Oryzias latipes: one gene and its partners. The main gene of each other region encodes a partner of the protein of the gene in region 4 in a complex. Links are inferred from orthologs where the notes say so. Each region holds a gene or a part of one and is shown on either strand. Other genes may lie near its edges.

What was found. The genes of interacting proteins can lie anywhere in the genome.
Region 1: nup160 (region 4) and cetn3 share a complex: the UniProt entries of both Homo sapiens proteins name them as parts of the nuclear pore complex. The link is inferred for Oryzias latipes from reciprocal best matches to the Homo sapiens genes NUP160 and CETN3.
Region 2: nup160 (region 4) and nup188 share a complex: the UniProt entries of both Homo sapiens proteins name them as parts of the nuclear pore complex. The link is inferred for Oryzias latipes from reciprocal best matches to the Homo sapiens genes NUP160 and NUP188.
Region 3: nup160 (region 4) and nup93 share a complex: the UniProt entries of both Homo sapiens proteins name them as parts of the nuclear pore complex. The link is inferred for Oryzias latipes from reciprocal best matches to the Homo sapiens genes NUP160 and NUP93.

The regions. Positions count from the first base shown.
Region 1 is NC_019870.2:1,966,126-1,970,119, forward strand, and holds the start of cetn3 (centrin-3), read left to right. Parts: upstream 1-1,194; 5' UTR 1,195-1,343; coding exon 1,344-1,360; intron 1,361-2,060; coding exon 2,061-2,193; intron 2,194-2,264; coding exon 2,265-2,379; intron 2,380-2,449; coding exon 2,450-2,641; intron 2,642-3,759; coding exon 3,760-3,803; 3' UTR 3,804-3,994. UniProt on the Homo sapiens protein: Plays a fundamental role in microtubule-organizing center structure and function. As a component of the TREX-2 complex, involved in the export of mRNAs to the cytoplasm through the nuclear pores.
Region 2 is NC_019870.2:8,134,775-8,138,892, forward strand, and holds the start of nup188 (nucleoporin NUP188 homolog), read left to right. Parts: upstream 1-1,318; 5' UTR 1,319-1,351; coding exon 1,352-1,392; intron 1,393-2,949; coding exon 2,950-3,004; intron 3,005-3,169; coding exon 3,170-3,243; intron 3,244-3,349; coding exon 3,350-3,434; intron 3,435-3,524; coding exon 3,525-3,605; intron 3,606-3,688; coding exon 3,689-3,733; intron 3,734-3,828; coding exon 3,829-3,921; intron 3,922-4,118. Other genes in the region: dolk (dolichol kinase), read right to left, coding at 116-125. UniProt on the Homo sapiens protein: Component of the nuclear pore complex (NPC), a complex required for the trafficking across the nuclear envelope. Required for proper protein transport into the nucleus.
Region 3 is NC_019864.2:28,020,781-28,024,814, forward strand, and holds the start of nup93 (nuclear pore complex protein Nup93), read left to right. Parts: upstream 1-1,234; 5' UTR 1,235-1,301; exon of another isoform or gene 1,302-1,419; intron 1,420-3,126; 5' UTR 3,127-3,130; coding exon 3,131-3,309; intron 3,310-3,682; coding exon 3,683-3,800; intron 3,801-4,034. UniProt on the Homo sapiens protein: Plays a role in the nuclear pore complex (NPC) assembly and/or maintenance. May anchor nucleoporins, but not NUP153 and TPR, to the NPC. During renal development, regulates podocyte migration and proliferation through SMAD4 signaling.
Region 4 is NC_019864.2:4,334,703-4,338,202, reverse strand, and holds part of nup160 (nuclear pore complex protein Nup160), read right to left. Parts: intron 3,486-3,500; coding exon 3,275-3,485; intron 2,974-3,274; coding exon 2,751-2,973; intron 2,675-2,750; coding exon 2,484-2,674; intron 2,409-2,483; coding exon 2,172-2,408; intron 1,187-2,171; coding exon 1,089-1,186; intron 978-1,088; coding exon 893-977; intron 804-892; coding exon 735-803; intron 1-734. UniProt on the Homo sapiens protein: Functions as a component of the nuclear pore complex (NPC). Involved in poly(A)+ RNA transport.

The DNA.
Region 1 (3,994 bases), on a different chromosome or scaffold from region 4:
CTGTTATTTTCATTCCGTCACAAACTACTGCCTGTTGTTGTTGTTACCACCTGTTTTTTTGTATTTTTTTCTGACTTAGACTCTGCTGAGCTTGAATCTCTCCTGAGGCGACATGGTTTTTCACTCAGGCGTTATCTAGGATGACACATGTGACACAGGAAACGCCCCGACGTGAGCCGAGACCGGGCGGCACCTTCATCCCGGAGCACCATGGGAAATCCCTGATAAAACTGAGACAAAGCCCAAATCAGGGGTGGGGGCACAAAGACCCTCGGGAAATGCTCCAAGCATTTCCAGAGGGTAGAAACCTCCGGCAGGATTCCAGAGAGAAGGACGACTGTTCAACAAGCCAGGACCATTATGGGTTACATGCCTTTAATGTTGACAGACAGACATCAGACATAACAGGACCGTTGACCAATGTTTATGAGGAAAACTTGTCATCAGTTCAGAGTAACAAGTTACAACAAATAAAGGGTGTGCTGAACTGTTGGAGGACAAAGTCTAATATTTAGGTGTTTTTAACATGTTCTTGATGATGGAGGACCATGTATGAAGAAAATTAAGCGCAAATTTTCATTTGTTGTGAATCAGGAGCAGACTAAAAAAATGCAGTTTAAAAAAGAAAAAAATGTGCTGGGCGGTGCCACAAGCTCCGTGCTGCGCTCCATTCCGATGCATTCACTGTCAGACAAATAGATCCATAAACATCTCTGTTTTCCTGGTCTGAGCTGGAGTCTGAACTGGACGAATGGACGGATCTGATGAGGCTGCCATTTTTGTTGCACCAGTAATGTTGGGGGGGTTGGGGGGGGGGCTGTTAGATAGCAGGAAAGAGTGTAAACAAAGGAATCATGGGAAATTAGACAGGCTTACTGTGTGCCAATGGCCACAACTCAGAGGAGAACCTCTGATGAACTCCTGTGGATCTGCAGAAACTGTCCTGTAAAACTGTCCACAGGAAGGGAAATAGATCAAAAGATGGCCGGAATGTGTCTTAAAGTTATCTGGATTATTCTTTTGTGAATCACAAACTGATTTTCTATTTAAAGTTTTTCTACATTTTATTTGACTTTGAAAAGGATTCCAGCGTCAGTATTAGCAGATGTAGCAATGACAGACGACAGCAGGGGGCGCTGGTGTCCCGCTTGGGTTCAGTTTGCTCCCGAAGAAAAAAAAACAGAGCGCCACTAAGCGAGCGCCTTGCTGTTGCCTAGAGACCACCGACCAATGAGGACCTCGGATCTGAGCGCGGACACGCGGGGTTTGTTTTTGCTCGTTGAGCGACAGTAGCCGTTCCTTGGAAGTGAAATCTTCGCGTTTGGATCTGCAATTCGATCGCAATGAGTCTGTCTCTGAGGTGAGGATCGCAGCTTTTACGGTGACGTCATTTCCGGTTCTCTCGCCTTGTTAGCCGACGTTAGCATGTCGCCCGTTTGCCTCAAACATTCAGAGCTTGTTGACCGGAGACTCGGTCAAAGGGCTGCGTCGGTCCAAACGGTCCAAATGTGTGTCTGTCAAAGGGTTCGGTTCGGTGGAGCTGTCTCTGAATCAATCTGAGCTTGGCTGAAGACGTTGCACCGAAATTCTGTGACCTCTCAGGTTCTGTCCTCGGTAGATAATATTTCACCTGATTTGGACTTTCCGGGACCAAAAGCTCGTTTCGGGGAATGAGTTCTTTTATTTTGAAATAACGTTTGTTTTTCCACCATATTTGGTCAAAGGTTCTCCAAATAAACCTGTTGTGACGTCAATGTGACAGAAAAATATCAGAAATAGGATTCTGTGGTTTGTGGTCAAATACTACGATAAGACTAAATGGGTCTGGGTTCTTATTGGCTCAAATCTGATCGGAGATCTCTGAGTTGGTTGAAGCAGGTTTCTCTCTCGGCTCAGAGTTTGCCGTCAGTCTTCTCCTGCCTTCATGTCTGTTCCTGACTGATGAAGATGTTCAAACTCTTGTTTTTTTGTCTTCGTCCATCCTTCACGGTTGAACGGCGAGGTTCAAGCTCTGGTTTGTGGTCACAGGGAGAATCTGTGACTCTGGTTTTGCTCCGCAGAACCGACCAGGCCGACAAAAACAAGCCTAATAAGAGGAGGGAGCTCACCGAGGAGCAGAAGCACGAGGTCAAGGAGGCCTTCGACCTGTTTGACACGGACAAGGACCGACAGATCGATTATCACGAGCTGAAGGTGAGCGGCGGCGGATCGGATGGAAACCGTGGAAACGAGACCAAAGGTGTCATCTGTCACGGTCCCACCAGGTGGCGATGCGCGCCCTGGGCTTTGAAGTGAAGAAGATGGACGTCCTGAAGATCCTGAAGGACTACGACAGAGACGGGAACAGGAAGATCACCTTTGAGGACTTCAGTGAAGTAGGTGAGTCACTGGCCTCCTCTTCCTCAGAGCCAGGCGACGAGGAGCCGCCCTGAAACGCGTCTGCCCGCAGTGACGGACCGCATCCTGGAGCGGGACCCGAAGGAGGAGGTCCTGAAGGCCTTCAAGCTGTTCGACGACGACGAGTCCGGGAGGATCAGCCTGAGGAACCTGAGGAGGGTCGCCCGAGAGCTCGGCGAGGACATCAACGACGAAGAGCTGCGCAGCATGATCGACGAGTTCGACACCGACAGAGACGGAGAGAGTAAGTCTGCATTCGCTCAGGTTAAAGCCACGCCCCCTTCACCGGATGACACGTGTTCTGTCGTTGCCGCGGAGATGAGGGTCAACAGCCTGTACTTATGTAGCTCTTATGCAGGTCTAACGCGTTTTAAGGTCACTCTGAAGGCGGCAGAGCTGCCATGACAACAGAGGGGCAAGGTGGGGGTTCAGTCTCTCGCTCAAGGTCACTTCAACGCATAAACCTGCGACCTCCTGATCGTAGGTGGACCGCTCTTCTCCCGGTGCGGCTCCTGCTTTAGAAATCCCATCGCTCTCTGACCTCCATGGCAGGAAGGTTCTGGCGTTCCCGCTCCGAGGTCGCCGGTGATTGGGCGGAGAGCGCGGCTCCTCCCCTCACGGTTTCCTCAGCTGACCTGTTCCAGAGTTTTAGCGACCCGAAGGCCCGTACACACCGGGACGAATATTCGCCAGGCGTTATTCGCCAGCGTTTTTCTCCACGTTTTTTGTGTTCACACCCAGGCGATTTTCGCTGACGATGAGCCGAGCGAACATGCAATTTCATTCCCTGACATTAGATGGCGCTTAATGTAAACAGAAATACTCCTGTACACAAGGTGGCGCTGCGCAACTTTACGCTTCTTAAAGTCGCTTTTCACTCAGAAGAAGAGAGCAAGTATTTACACGCTTGTCAGAATCAAACAAAGAAAACATTAATATTTCAAGCATCAGTAGCTCCAACTGGTGCTTGGTTCGGGGATATTTTAGAATGTCCGTCATTATTGCTTCGCGGCTGTGTAGACGCTACTTGGCGTCTATCTTCTTCGCTGGTATGTGTGCTCAGCAAGGCAGTTTTGTGTTTGAGCGCCCCCAAGTTGTGTTTTACTGTAACTTCAGAAGCTCCAGACACGTGAGCAAAAGCGCCATTCTCATTGGTCGAATAGATTTCGATGCGACGCGTCGAAAAAAAAAAAACGAACCCGAGGCGTTTTTTTTTTTTGACGCTTTAACGCATGGCGTTTTTTCGCGTCGGTGTGCACACTCTCGTTGGTGCCCTTTGTTTAGTCACGAGGCGTTTCGCCGACGAAATTCGTCCCGGTGTGAACAGGCCTTGAGAGTCTGAGCAGACCGGTGTTTCCTCAGTAAACCAGGAGGAGTTCCTCGCCATCATGACCGCAGACTCCTGAGGAGGAGCCCGGAACGCCTTCTGAGCTGGACCCAGACGTTTCTCCACAGAGCCAGTGGACGCCCCCTCAGAGCCCGTGAGTCTGAATCCCGCTGGACATGAGAAGACTTTCCAACAGTAAAAACTGGACTGACTTTCTGTAAAGATCAAGATTTAAGTCGATCTTGACTTTTGAACTGTTTGTGTGAGTGT
Region 2 (4,118 bases), on a different chromosome or scaffold from region 4:
ATCGAGGACGCAGCATCGAGCTGACAGCAGCTGCCTGCGTTAGCACGACGCCGCTGAACTCACACCAAAGGCAGCGCAATAACTAAAAGAGGATTACGTCGAAAACAGTACTCACCTAATTTCATGGGGTTTTCCTCTAGAATAGTGGTTTCGGATACAAACTGCTGCCGTCCCCTTTGAATAAAAATCCTCTTTTTGTCAGATGTCTCTCTTCTCACACCCTGTAGGAAGGGGCCATCTTTGACAGCCGGGTCACGTGACACATTCTAACCATTGGCGAAACGCGATGAGATTTACATTTATATTTTATTTTGTTTTTAAACTCTTACCCTATTACAGTATTGGCTTTCCTTAAAATAATCAAATTTTCTATTTTTTTATTAAATCATTTTTTATTAGAAATGTTATTTTATTATTTAAATAAAAGTCTACTACAAAGAAAAACTACAATTTCTGAACATATTGGCTCAAGAAAATAAACAAACAAAAAATATACTTATAAGACAAAATAATCTTTTTACCGCTAATATTTTAAACACAATTAATAATTAGCAAAATTAAAAAAGACAATAAAATAAATATGAAGTCTTGTAAGTTTAAATAAGTTTTTAGATTATAAAGAGAATCTATTTTTTTTCTGAGTGAAGATTTATTGAGATTGGCATAAATTACAAATTATCTTTACCTGTGTAAGCACACCCCAACCAACTTGAAACCATGAAAAACCCCTATGTTGTTACCATGAATTCAAAACAAAATTTAAAAAAATATTAATCTTTTCACAAATAATAATAAAAAGTATACTTATTATAGTGTTTTCAGATAAAATATATATTCATCAACATTTTACCTGTTTATCCTACTAGACACTTGTGGCAATGTTTTTCTTCACATGATGCCAGCTACAAAGTCAAAGGTCTTCACAAAATTATATATGATCATTCTCCTGATCTTATTAACAAAGGATTATATTCATAAAGCTAGGTTTACTGATACAATTCCAAAAAATTGAGATATTTGCCCAAATCAAACATTATTTGGACTTTTGTCCATACAAATATAAAAGCAGGCAAACCCTATAATGTTTGTAAGCTTAAAAGATCAACATGATTTATTTATTTATTTATTTATTTATTTGTTTGTTTATTTATTTATTTATTTATTTATTTATTTATTTATTTATTTATTTATGTATTTATACCTCCCTGGTTGTCTTGAAAAAAAAATTGGACAGTTTATTGTTCAGTGTTCCTTGCTGTGTCATTTCTGTTTTTTGAATAAAGTTTTTTTTAATAAAAAATGCTTCCAAAAAGAAAAACGGAAATGACGGAATCGTGTGTGAACCAATCGCATGGCAGAAGTGAAGATGGCGGACTCTCAGATCAGCGTCAGGTAAAGAATCAACAGTAAACTTTCCTTAACATTTGTTTTGAGTGAATAATTCATTAAAACACCAAAAACTTGGTTAACATTTTAAAATAGTAACCTAAATATCTCCCGCTAGATTAGCAGTAACCGTTTGATGATTTGAGCTATCAGCAGCTAGCTAACTTAGCTTAGCTTGCGCTAACCGCTAGTTTGAATGGCTCTCTGAAACGAGGTGCCGCTTGTCAACAAATCTACTACTACTAGCTTCGCTCACATAGGTAATGTTGCGTTTATGTGTGATAAGTAGTTAGTTACTATAATAAAATGAGTAATTTAGGCATAACATATAGAAAACACCACCGTAAAGGCACAATTTTAACTGCGAATTCAAGTTGGTATCCCGTGTATGTCACATTTCTCAGTCTTATTGTACCTAAACTCCAACTAAGACTTTATCTCAGAACAGATTATTAATACAATTGTTTAGTAATAAGATTACAACTTCATAAGAATCCGTGAATAGAATAAATAACGGGGGAATGTTTAAGCTGTGGTGTAATTGTCAGAAGTATACACCTCCGTAAAGAGTTACTGTATAATTCCATGGCCACGTGTGTATAAAACCAGGGATTTCAAGGCACGCGGGCTACTGTAACAAACGTTTGTAAATGACCAGGCTACTATGAGCGCTGAATTGTGCAACACATGTGAGGTCTCCATATGAAATGTTTGATTGTCAGTAGTGGTAGTAGTAGTGGTACAACTAAGCCACAAAGCAGTTCTCTGTGTGAACGGCAGCTCCTGTGTGCACAGGTCAGCAATTTTCCGCAGTCAGTGATGGACCAGTCTGGGTTTGGTGGTTTCCACAAAAACAGTCACTTGTCTGACTGCGTTGTCAAATGTGAAGTTTGGTGGAGTGATGGTTGTGGTATGGTTGACCCAGTAAAAAGAACTCTTAATGCTTCAGTAGATATTTCCGACATCATAGAAACATAGAAAGTTGCTTTGCTCAAAGCAAGGACTAAAGAAGCCCACTCACTGTATTTGAACACAATAGCATAGAGTGAAGAGTGTGAGCACGGCCTTTCTCATCCAACATAGTGTCTGACCTCACTAATGGGCTTCCACAAATACACTACTAACCCTGAAAGGCTTTCTTGGAAATCCGGAGGGTCGGCTGTCATAAAAATGACGCAGACTTGCCCTCTTTTTTTCTTTTTTTTTTTAAACAAACAGATGGTCAACAAATAAAACTCAAGGACCTATAACATATAGGTAGCGATGCCTGCCTATTACAGCCCGTTAGCTGAGTTTCTCCCTGTAATTTTGGCATGCTGGAATATAGGATTGGACCTTTAAAAAGATGCATAACATTATAGTCTCCCAAAGTACGGTAATCTAAGGTTTTCCCATGGGTGGAACCTGTAGGAAAGAACAGGTTAGTTAGAGTAGACCATGTATGTGTGTGTGTGCGCTTGCGTGTGTATCTATATGTATATGTGTGTGTCATGATGATTTGGGGCATTTTTATAATGATCTGTACATATAAAACTTGTGAAAATAAAACCTTGATTTTCATAGGAGCTGTCGAGAACTGTGGACCATTCTGCTTGGCAGATCCGCTTTGAGAGAACCGGTATGTTTAGCTTTTACCTTTATTCTCTATGCTAACAATGCACAGTATAATGTACCGGTACTTATAAAACACACAATTCATGTACAGGTTTTGTATGACACATAATATGTGTTGGAGGCAAATCAAGTTTTTTAACATTTACATTTCTTCGTGTGTCTTTTGCAGGCGCAAATAGAAGCAGAACTTGAAAGACACTGGGATAGACTCCATCAAGGACTCAGTTACTACAAGCAACCCAGGTGAGGTTACAAGCAAGAATGTTCCTGAACTTTCTTTAATGACTGCACTTTTAAAGATGTACCTACTCGGAGCTTAATGCATCGTTGTTGGACTCGTTTGTTGAAGCTCAAGCTCTGCAGGGAAGGTTAAGGAAAACAAAAATGTCCCACAGCCGCTGAAAGACTTTGGTTTAAGGATCAGTAAACTGTTGGTAAGATTTTGACATTTCTGTTAATGTATTTAGTTTTTTTTTAGATGTGTCTGTGTCTTGATGTCATTCGGTACAATGGAAATTTTGCAGAACCTTGACGAGGAGCAGAGCGTACAGCTTTTACAATGTTATCTTCAGGAGGACTACAGAGGGACCAGAGACTCCCTAAAGGTTTTTGTTCTCGCAGTCAAAAAATTGAAGAGGAAAAAAATAATTGGCGGGAGGAAAAATTAAACAAAAGTTTTTTTCCGTAGGTTGTCCTAAAAGACGATCGACAGAGTCAGGCGTTACTGCTAAAGGTGAGCGAAAGGTCCTTGATGGATGTAATTCTAATAATAGTTTTACTTCCTGCTTTTATTTAAAGGATTTATTGGTATATGTATGATGTCCATAGATTGCTGATTACTACTATGAAGAGCGGATGTGTTTGCTCCGCTGTGTTCTTCTGCTGCTCACATACTTTCAGGACGAGCGACATCCCTATCGGGTGAGAATGACAAACTTTTACAGAAACCTGAATGAGTGCTTTCTTTTCTTTGTATTTAAAAGTTTGGTTGTGGAACTTCTTTTATTGTGTGGATTTCAAGTCCAGATGCCATGATTCGACTTTAAGATGTCACCTGGATGAGTGAGAGCCTTCATGGACGACGTCTGTTATTGAATCAGCTCTTGTGTTTGTTTCTG
Region 3 (4,034 bases), about 24 Mb from region 4:
TTTTTCAAATGAGTAGATTACTGAAGTTCATTTTCTTAAGGCAAATTGAACTTTTTTGCCTGACACCGAAAAAAATGGATGTATCTGTTCTTCAGTACAAGCCTGGGCGGGAAATGAAAAACACATTTCTTTTCTTAATATCTTGTTTTTAATGCATTTGGAGACACTATATTAATACCTAATCTATCACATGAAGTGTGTTGATAAAAGAAGAAGAAGAGAACGTTGAGAAAAATCAAGTTTATGCTGCCAAATTCTCAGTGTTTGTTCTTATTAAAGCATAGGGAGAATTATTTGCCTATTAAACTTTATTGTCATTGTTTATGTAAAGATTCTCATGGAGACTCAATGTGTCGTTTTAATGTAACAACTGTTATGATGACCAAACTACAAGAAGCAATGAAATAAACTACGGTTAAAAACAAACAGATTTATAGACTAACTATCCATATTGTTTCAGACATGTTTGAACTCCAATAGCGTCAAATCCTACATACAAAATTTTCATATTAAAAAATGAAAATGTTTCTGCTTGTCCTTCGTAAACTTTTGATTTTGTAACCAGAAATTGTGAGTTTTTTTTAAATATTGTAATGTTTTCTGATTTTTCTTTTTAATTTATTTATTTATTTTTAGGTAAATAAAATATATCTAACACACAAGTCCAAAAATATATTCCTAAAGAAATCTTTACTTGTGTGTGAGCTTATGAGGATTTATTACGAGACCATGTAGTGCAGTGTTGAGTTGAGGGTGAACATCCAGTTATACATCTCAGAGCACCGTGGAAAATCAAAAACATTGCCAGAAAATGTCATAAATGTTAGGGTTTAAAAAATAAATTAATGTCAACTTAAAAATTCTAAATATTTTTATAAAACCCATAAATCAATTTGCTCATTGAGTACATTTTGTATCTTTCAGGGGGAAAAAAAAGTTTTTTTTGAGTGTTTTTTTTTATACAACAATTTCTTATTCAATCAATACAAATTTCTTTTTTTGGGTATAATTTTAATAACATTTTTTTTTTTGAAAAACTGTTATTTTAACCTAAAATCACAATTAAAAAACGTCAAATATTGTCTGATTGCAAATTCAATCATGATAGTGTAAACCCAAACTGTAAAGATTTTAAACATAAAAAAAACTAAAAATAGCAACAAATATTTATTAAGGCAAAATACTTTTTTTTTTTTTGCACCGGTCTATGTCATTGTTCAATAAAGTTTGGGGAAAAAAACAATATACTTCCGGCTCACGCCGGTCAAGGACCAATCACGGTTGACTTCTACAGTACCGGGGCAAGTAATGCAACTTTTATTTACTACACTCTTCTGCTTAACATAAAAGCGTGATTATTGGAAAAAAAATCTGAATACAGACAGTGAGCACGCTGCTCGTTTCCTCCGTAAATATCAGGTATGATGGTTTTCCGTCCAAATCAGACTGAACAGAACCAAACTTAGCTAGAATACGAGCATGTGTTTTTCAGTGTTAGCATTAGCATGAATGCTAACTCGTCATTCATTTTGATCATTATCAGTGAACTAGCAAATCAAAAAAGAAAGGTACAGCCAAGATCACAGTCTAAAAATTTATTTTGCGTAGTTCATGGCATGCTTTTTAGAATGATAACATTATTATAACAACTTGTTGTAGCTTAGCCCGTTTAGCTGACGGATAGCTAATTCAGTCAGCGCATTCGCGCGCGTCGATCATGTCTGTCAAGTAATATTACAGCTGTATCACCTGCTAAACCTTCACACATTTCATTGACAACCTAAACCCGTATTTATTCTAAAATGCTTGTTTCTAGAACTTAATAGCGTTTGAAATTTATTTCAGTGAGTGTTCGGGTTGATTGAAGGCCAATTATGAATGAATGATGAATGGATTTTTTTCTTCTAATGTCCGAAACAGCAAATTAGTTTAAATAATCTATGAATTATTATTATTAATTAATATATCACATTAATATTTACCCAAACTGCAGTAAAAATATTGCAACCTTCAAAGTAAAAAAAACAATCTAAACATCTAGTTATTAGTGTATGTATATACTGTGGGTATGTAAAAATACAAAAGTGTTTGTTTTGGTGATCCCAGAAATTAAAATTAGCATTTTGTTTAACCTAAATAGAAAGTAGCACCTTATTTAAGGGAGACAATATCAGAAAATTTTAAGATTACTTTGGCTAATACAGATGATCAGTCTTTTATTTTTATAAATTGAAAAAAAAAAAAAAAACGTTTTTTACACCCTTCTTAGAATTAATAATTAAAGTTAAATAAATGCTTTAGGCCTCCATGCATCAGTGGTGGGTTATGAGCAATTCAAATATTAAATTTAACTTTATTTTTATAGTATTTTTCCTGCTATAGAGCATTTCAAAGTGCATCCCACAATAAAATAGATACTAGGAAGATTTAAAAAAAATTAGTAAAAATAATACTAATAATAATTATAAGATAAATCATATTTTAAAAAAAACCACATACACATCCCACAAGTACAATAAAAAAAAAATCCAATTAATATAAACAGCAATTTCTGTCTCTGTCATTACCGTCCCTATGACTCTAACATGGTGAAATCTGTTGTAAGCATTCTGATGCTTTTATCCTGGCTGTGTAATACAAGTAGAATTATAGTTAAGACCTGCTAGAGGAAAACTTTATTACTGGTTGTTGCTGACGGTTATCTTTTTATCCAGTTATAAACAGCACAAGTAACTGAGCAGATGCAGCCCATTGTAGCTGAGTATCGGTACTGTTTTTTACATTACAAATATACTCAACTAAAACACATGGGGCAGTGAAACTGCTTTCTAAGGCACAATATTTTTACAAAAGGTAACGTAAACTTAAAATGTAACGAATAAGTTTATTTATTGTAGGATGATTTTATCATGTTGTGATTTTCCTAACTTGGTTGGACTCAATCTTGTGTTTTGTTTTGTTTTTCCAATATATCCATAATTGATGCTTACCTTAAACAAGAAGGAGGTTGTACATCAGAGCTAGAAAAAACAAACATGTGTAGAGCTGCATTGTTAACATGTAAACATAACGTGGTTAAATGTAGGTCACATAAATAACTGAAAGTGCTTTTCCCTGTCGCCGTAGGGCAATGGATGGAGAAGGTTTTGGGGAGCTTCTGCAGCAGGCAGAACAGCTGGCTGCAGAAACAGAAGCTGTGTCAGAGCTGCCTCATGTTGAAAGGAACCTTCAGGAGATCCAGCAAGCCGGAGAGAGGCTTCGATCCCGCACGCTTACCCGCACGCCTCACGACGCAGCAGACGTAAAAGCGTGAGGACTTTGTCTTCCTTTTTGGTTTTAGTTATGATTTGTAGACTCACCAGACGCAATAGTAATGTCAACCTTTTGGCAGCAGAGGGACCTATTTCTCATTTCCAAAAGTATTATTGAATTTAGAGCATCCACTGCTATTAACTATTATGTGCTACAACATGCCAAAATAATCAGTAAATGATTTTAAACTCTAGCAATTCAAGGTGACATATCTTCAAAGTATTTTCATACTTTCCACTTCTTTTTTAGTTTTTAAATGTATTTTATAGAATGTTTTAAATAACAAGCACCTCTTGTGCCCTCTAGTGGGTGACATGTTGTTGTTAAAGTCTCCTTTTCTCACAACTTGTTGTTCCTTTTTTTGTTTTAGATCAATCCTTCTTGGTTCAAGAGGATTAGACATCTTCCACATTTCCCAGAGACTGGAGACCCTAAGCGCTGCCACAACCTTTGAGCCTCTGGAGCCAGTCAAAGACACCGATATACAGGTAAAATCCTTGCATGGCATCATGGAAACAATGTTTAAGGATCGAATGCATAAGGTTTATATAAACAATATAGCTAGAAAGCTGTTGATCCTAAATTTTTAGATAGATTAAATGGGAAAGCATTGGTTATTCAATGTAAATATATTTTGTAGTGAATCAAAAACCTTTCAAGGTTTTTCTACAATATTAAGACATCTTTGAGGCCTACTATACCAATTTTTTTCTCATGCGATT
Region 4 (3,500 bases):
TTGTGTACCAGTATTTGCTACTGACACCAACAGAGGAGAGAAATGCCGTTCAGTCTTAAACCAGGCTCGGCAGAGTTGCTCCAAAGCGACACAGAGGATGAAGAATTCAACAGATTTAGGGATTTGAAGTGATATACGGAGTGTGGTCGACTACTTGGCATGCTCTTTATGCTATGTTTGTCTTACAGGGCTTGTGCAAAATTTTGCTTTTTAACAGTCATTGGGATTTTTAATCTCTTAAAGAGCATCATCCACAATATTTTTTTTTAGCTTTAAAGTGTATTGTAATGTTCATTCCTCACCAAAAACAACCCTAAAGTGGTATTCAAGCATTTCTGAGTATTCCTCTAAAAACATGACTGTGCACACCAGCCCCTCCCAACCCACCAAAACAAGTGGCTTCTAACATTGTGAGGTAGATAATGGGGAAAAGCCTCTTTCAGGAAGAGTCTGTGCTGTCAGCACCACCCCCAGGCTAACACACACCCACGTTCTCCATTGAGCTAGCAGTATTCAGCTAAACGCTTTCCTTTCATACGCACAATATTGCACATTCATCTATGCAAAATTTTGGATGTTTGTGTTCTTTCGTGTGGCATTCTGACGCAGTGAAAAGCGGCTTTTCACATCGGCTTTGCATTGATATTCTACACATCACTGAAGTAAAGTGTTGCATTATGGTGCAAAGCTGCTTTTCAGCAGAGACGGCAAAGGTGATGTCAGCGTGCACTCACCTGCAGAGCTTTGATGATGGCCGCGGCACTGAAGTGCAGCGGAGAGAACAGGACATCCAGATAGGTCTCCTAAAAAGAACACACCACATCTATATAAACATAAACATTAACCATGTCACTCACACCAGGCTGTGTTCCATCACAATCACCGGTCATACCCTGGGGTCCAGATCCATTCCCACAGGAACTTCTTCCTCAGGCAGAGGCTGAACAAACACTTGGTTCCACTGACCTGATGCACTCCTGTAACACACAGACTAATCAGAACCAATTGCCCAACACGGGAACTTAAAAGTCCAGTTCCAGGATCATATACTTCCAATGAGCCAATGATCCAGAATGACTCAAACGTACTGCTCAAAGCTGATGTATTTGACCACTGTGGCATTGGAGTCATCCACCCACAAAGCCCAGACATCTGAGGAGGTCAGAGAAAAGTCCACCAGGGTCTCCTGTCAGACACAAATCGAGTTCTGTCAGAATCACAGCTACTACACAGGACCACATAACCGGCCCCGGCTGTTGGTTGGCCAGCTGTGGACACAAACGCAGCTCAGACCCCGCTGACTGTAATGGAGAGCTGGACTGAGTGAGTGTGATGTCATCCATAGAAAATGGTTTACTTCCTGCTCTAACCAAATGAAGTCAATTCAGAGCCCATTTTTGGCGATAAGGACGCAGCCATGTTGGAGTCGGACAATGTCAGTAAGCAGTAATTGGTCCAAGTCTGTCTGAGAAAACACTTCTCTGGCAACCAGCCTCACCAATCAGGAGTAAGCTTGTTGGAAAGCCACACCCCTATCACTTTAAGGCTGGCTTGGGAGAATCTGTTAAAAGCTTTGAACATTGGATATGGGGCCACCGGGCACCACAAACCTTTATTGAAGCATCTGATTGGTCAGTTTATAACTTTGAATAACTTGCACTACAGAAAAATATCATGAAAAAAAGAAAATGATCAAGAACATGTTAAAAAAGGTAACAGATCAAAAATGGTCATTCTGTGAGTAACAGCTGTTTATTTCTCTATTGAAGACAATGGGATTTTTGCATAATGGAGCCAGTAGGTACTTCCTGCCTGGAACACCAAGGGGGAGGGGTCACTCAGTCCAGCTCTTGTTTACAGTTAATGAGTAGGCCGCTCAAAAGAGGGTTCTACTGCATCTGTCCCTGCTCAATATCTAAAACTTTCCCACTGCCACAACATCTCCATGGAAACCAATCAACCAATCTTCCTGATTGCAGTCAGTACTTAAGTGTAACTGTCCGCATTTCTGTTTGGACTGCGCATCTTAAACCCCATTAGAAACAGAAACCTACAAATTCACGCTTTAGTACGTTTTCTGGTCCAGTAGCCGCCCGTGGATCTTCACGACTGCAGACTGGTCCTGCTGTGGTGGACCCAAATGCTAACAACCCTACCACCATGCAACTTACCAGCGTGCTGAACAGGGAGGAGATGTGCTCCAGGCTGTAGCGATTGTTGTCAGTGCCCACCAGCTGAAAGACGGTGAACTGTCCTTTCTGAGGGACAGCCAGGTAAACACACAGACAGAGGCCGGTGGAAGGGGAGAAGGCCAGCCGTAGGCGGTGACCCTGACCAGACAGTCGTTTTACACCTCTGCAGGCCGGCATATATTCCAGAATGTCTATTTCCAGAAGGCACGTCTGCTCCTGTGGACGCAAAAAAAACCAGTATAACAGGCAGAAGCCACGGGACGGAGTCCATCATGAAGGGGACACACTGACCCTGAGAGACCACATGCGAAGTCTGTGGTCCTGGCACAAAGCAAAGATGAAGGAGTCTTCCTCCAGCTCTCTGACAGCCATGCTGAGAACAAGATCTCCTGGACTCTGCTCCCCTCGGATGGCTGTGGGCATCCATCCTGAGATCCTCCTCATCATGGAGCTCCTCTTCAGCTCCACCACAGACAGGTCGCCTACACAAGGGATAGAGGCTTCACTGCACCACCTGAACATCACCCAAGCATCACCAGATGGAAAGCTGGTCCTCACCCTGTGTGTCGTGGCGTGGCAGCGTCACCACAGCGATGCCCCCAGATGGTGATGCCAGAGCGAAGTGGGCCTCTCCCTGGAGGCTGAGCCAGGCCGCACTGGTGCTCAGACTCCCCGAAAGTCCTGGCACGTTGGGGATGACGGCGCTGTTAGGCCAATCCTGAAGATTCAGCTTCCCCACATCAGTGAAGATGGACTGCATGTGCAGCTCAGAGACAAGTTCCTGCAGAACAGCAGGAGGTTCCTCACACAGACATCAGGAAAACCAGCTTCAGTAGCATGATCACTGCAAGGTGAAGATTGGTACTAAACGCACAACCACAGCACGTATGCAGCTAACACTAAGAGCTATGGAAGAAAAAAAGAGCTTTATTCCACAGAAATCTGGGATGGTTAAAGGGTCAGAATCTAGAACCCAAATGGGTTTGGACTCCTAACACCGAGCTGCAGCCAAACACTGGAGTGTGTTGACGGAGCGGGATCTCCTGCAGGGATAATAAGCCTGTTGTTCTTGTTCTACTCACGCTGCGGTACATGCGAGCAGGATGAGGCAGCAGCACTCTGTGGACACTCTGATTGGTGCAGATGAGGATGATGACATTGTAGAGGGTCTCCTGTATGCTGACCCCCCCAGGCAGGACAGAGCAGTGGGGGAACTTGAACTTGACGGCATTGTTCAGGAGGTTGATGTCCAGAGACTCCTCCACCAGCTGCACCGTGTCTCCCGACGTGATCCTGCAACGAGTGTGA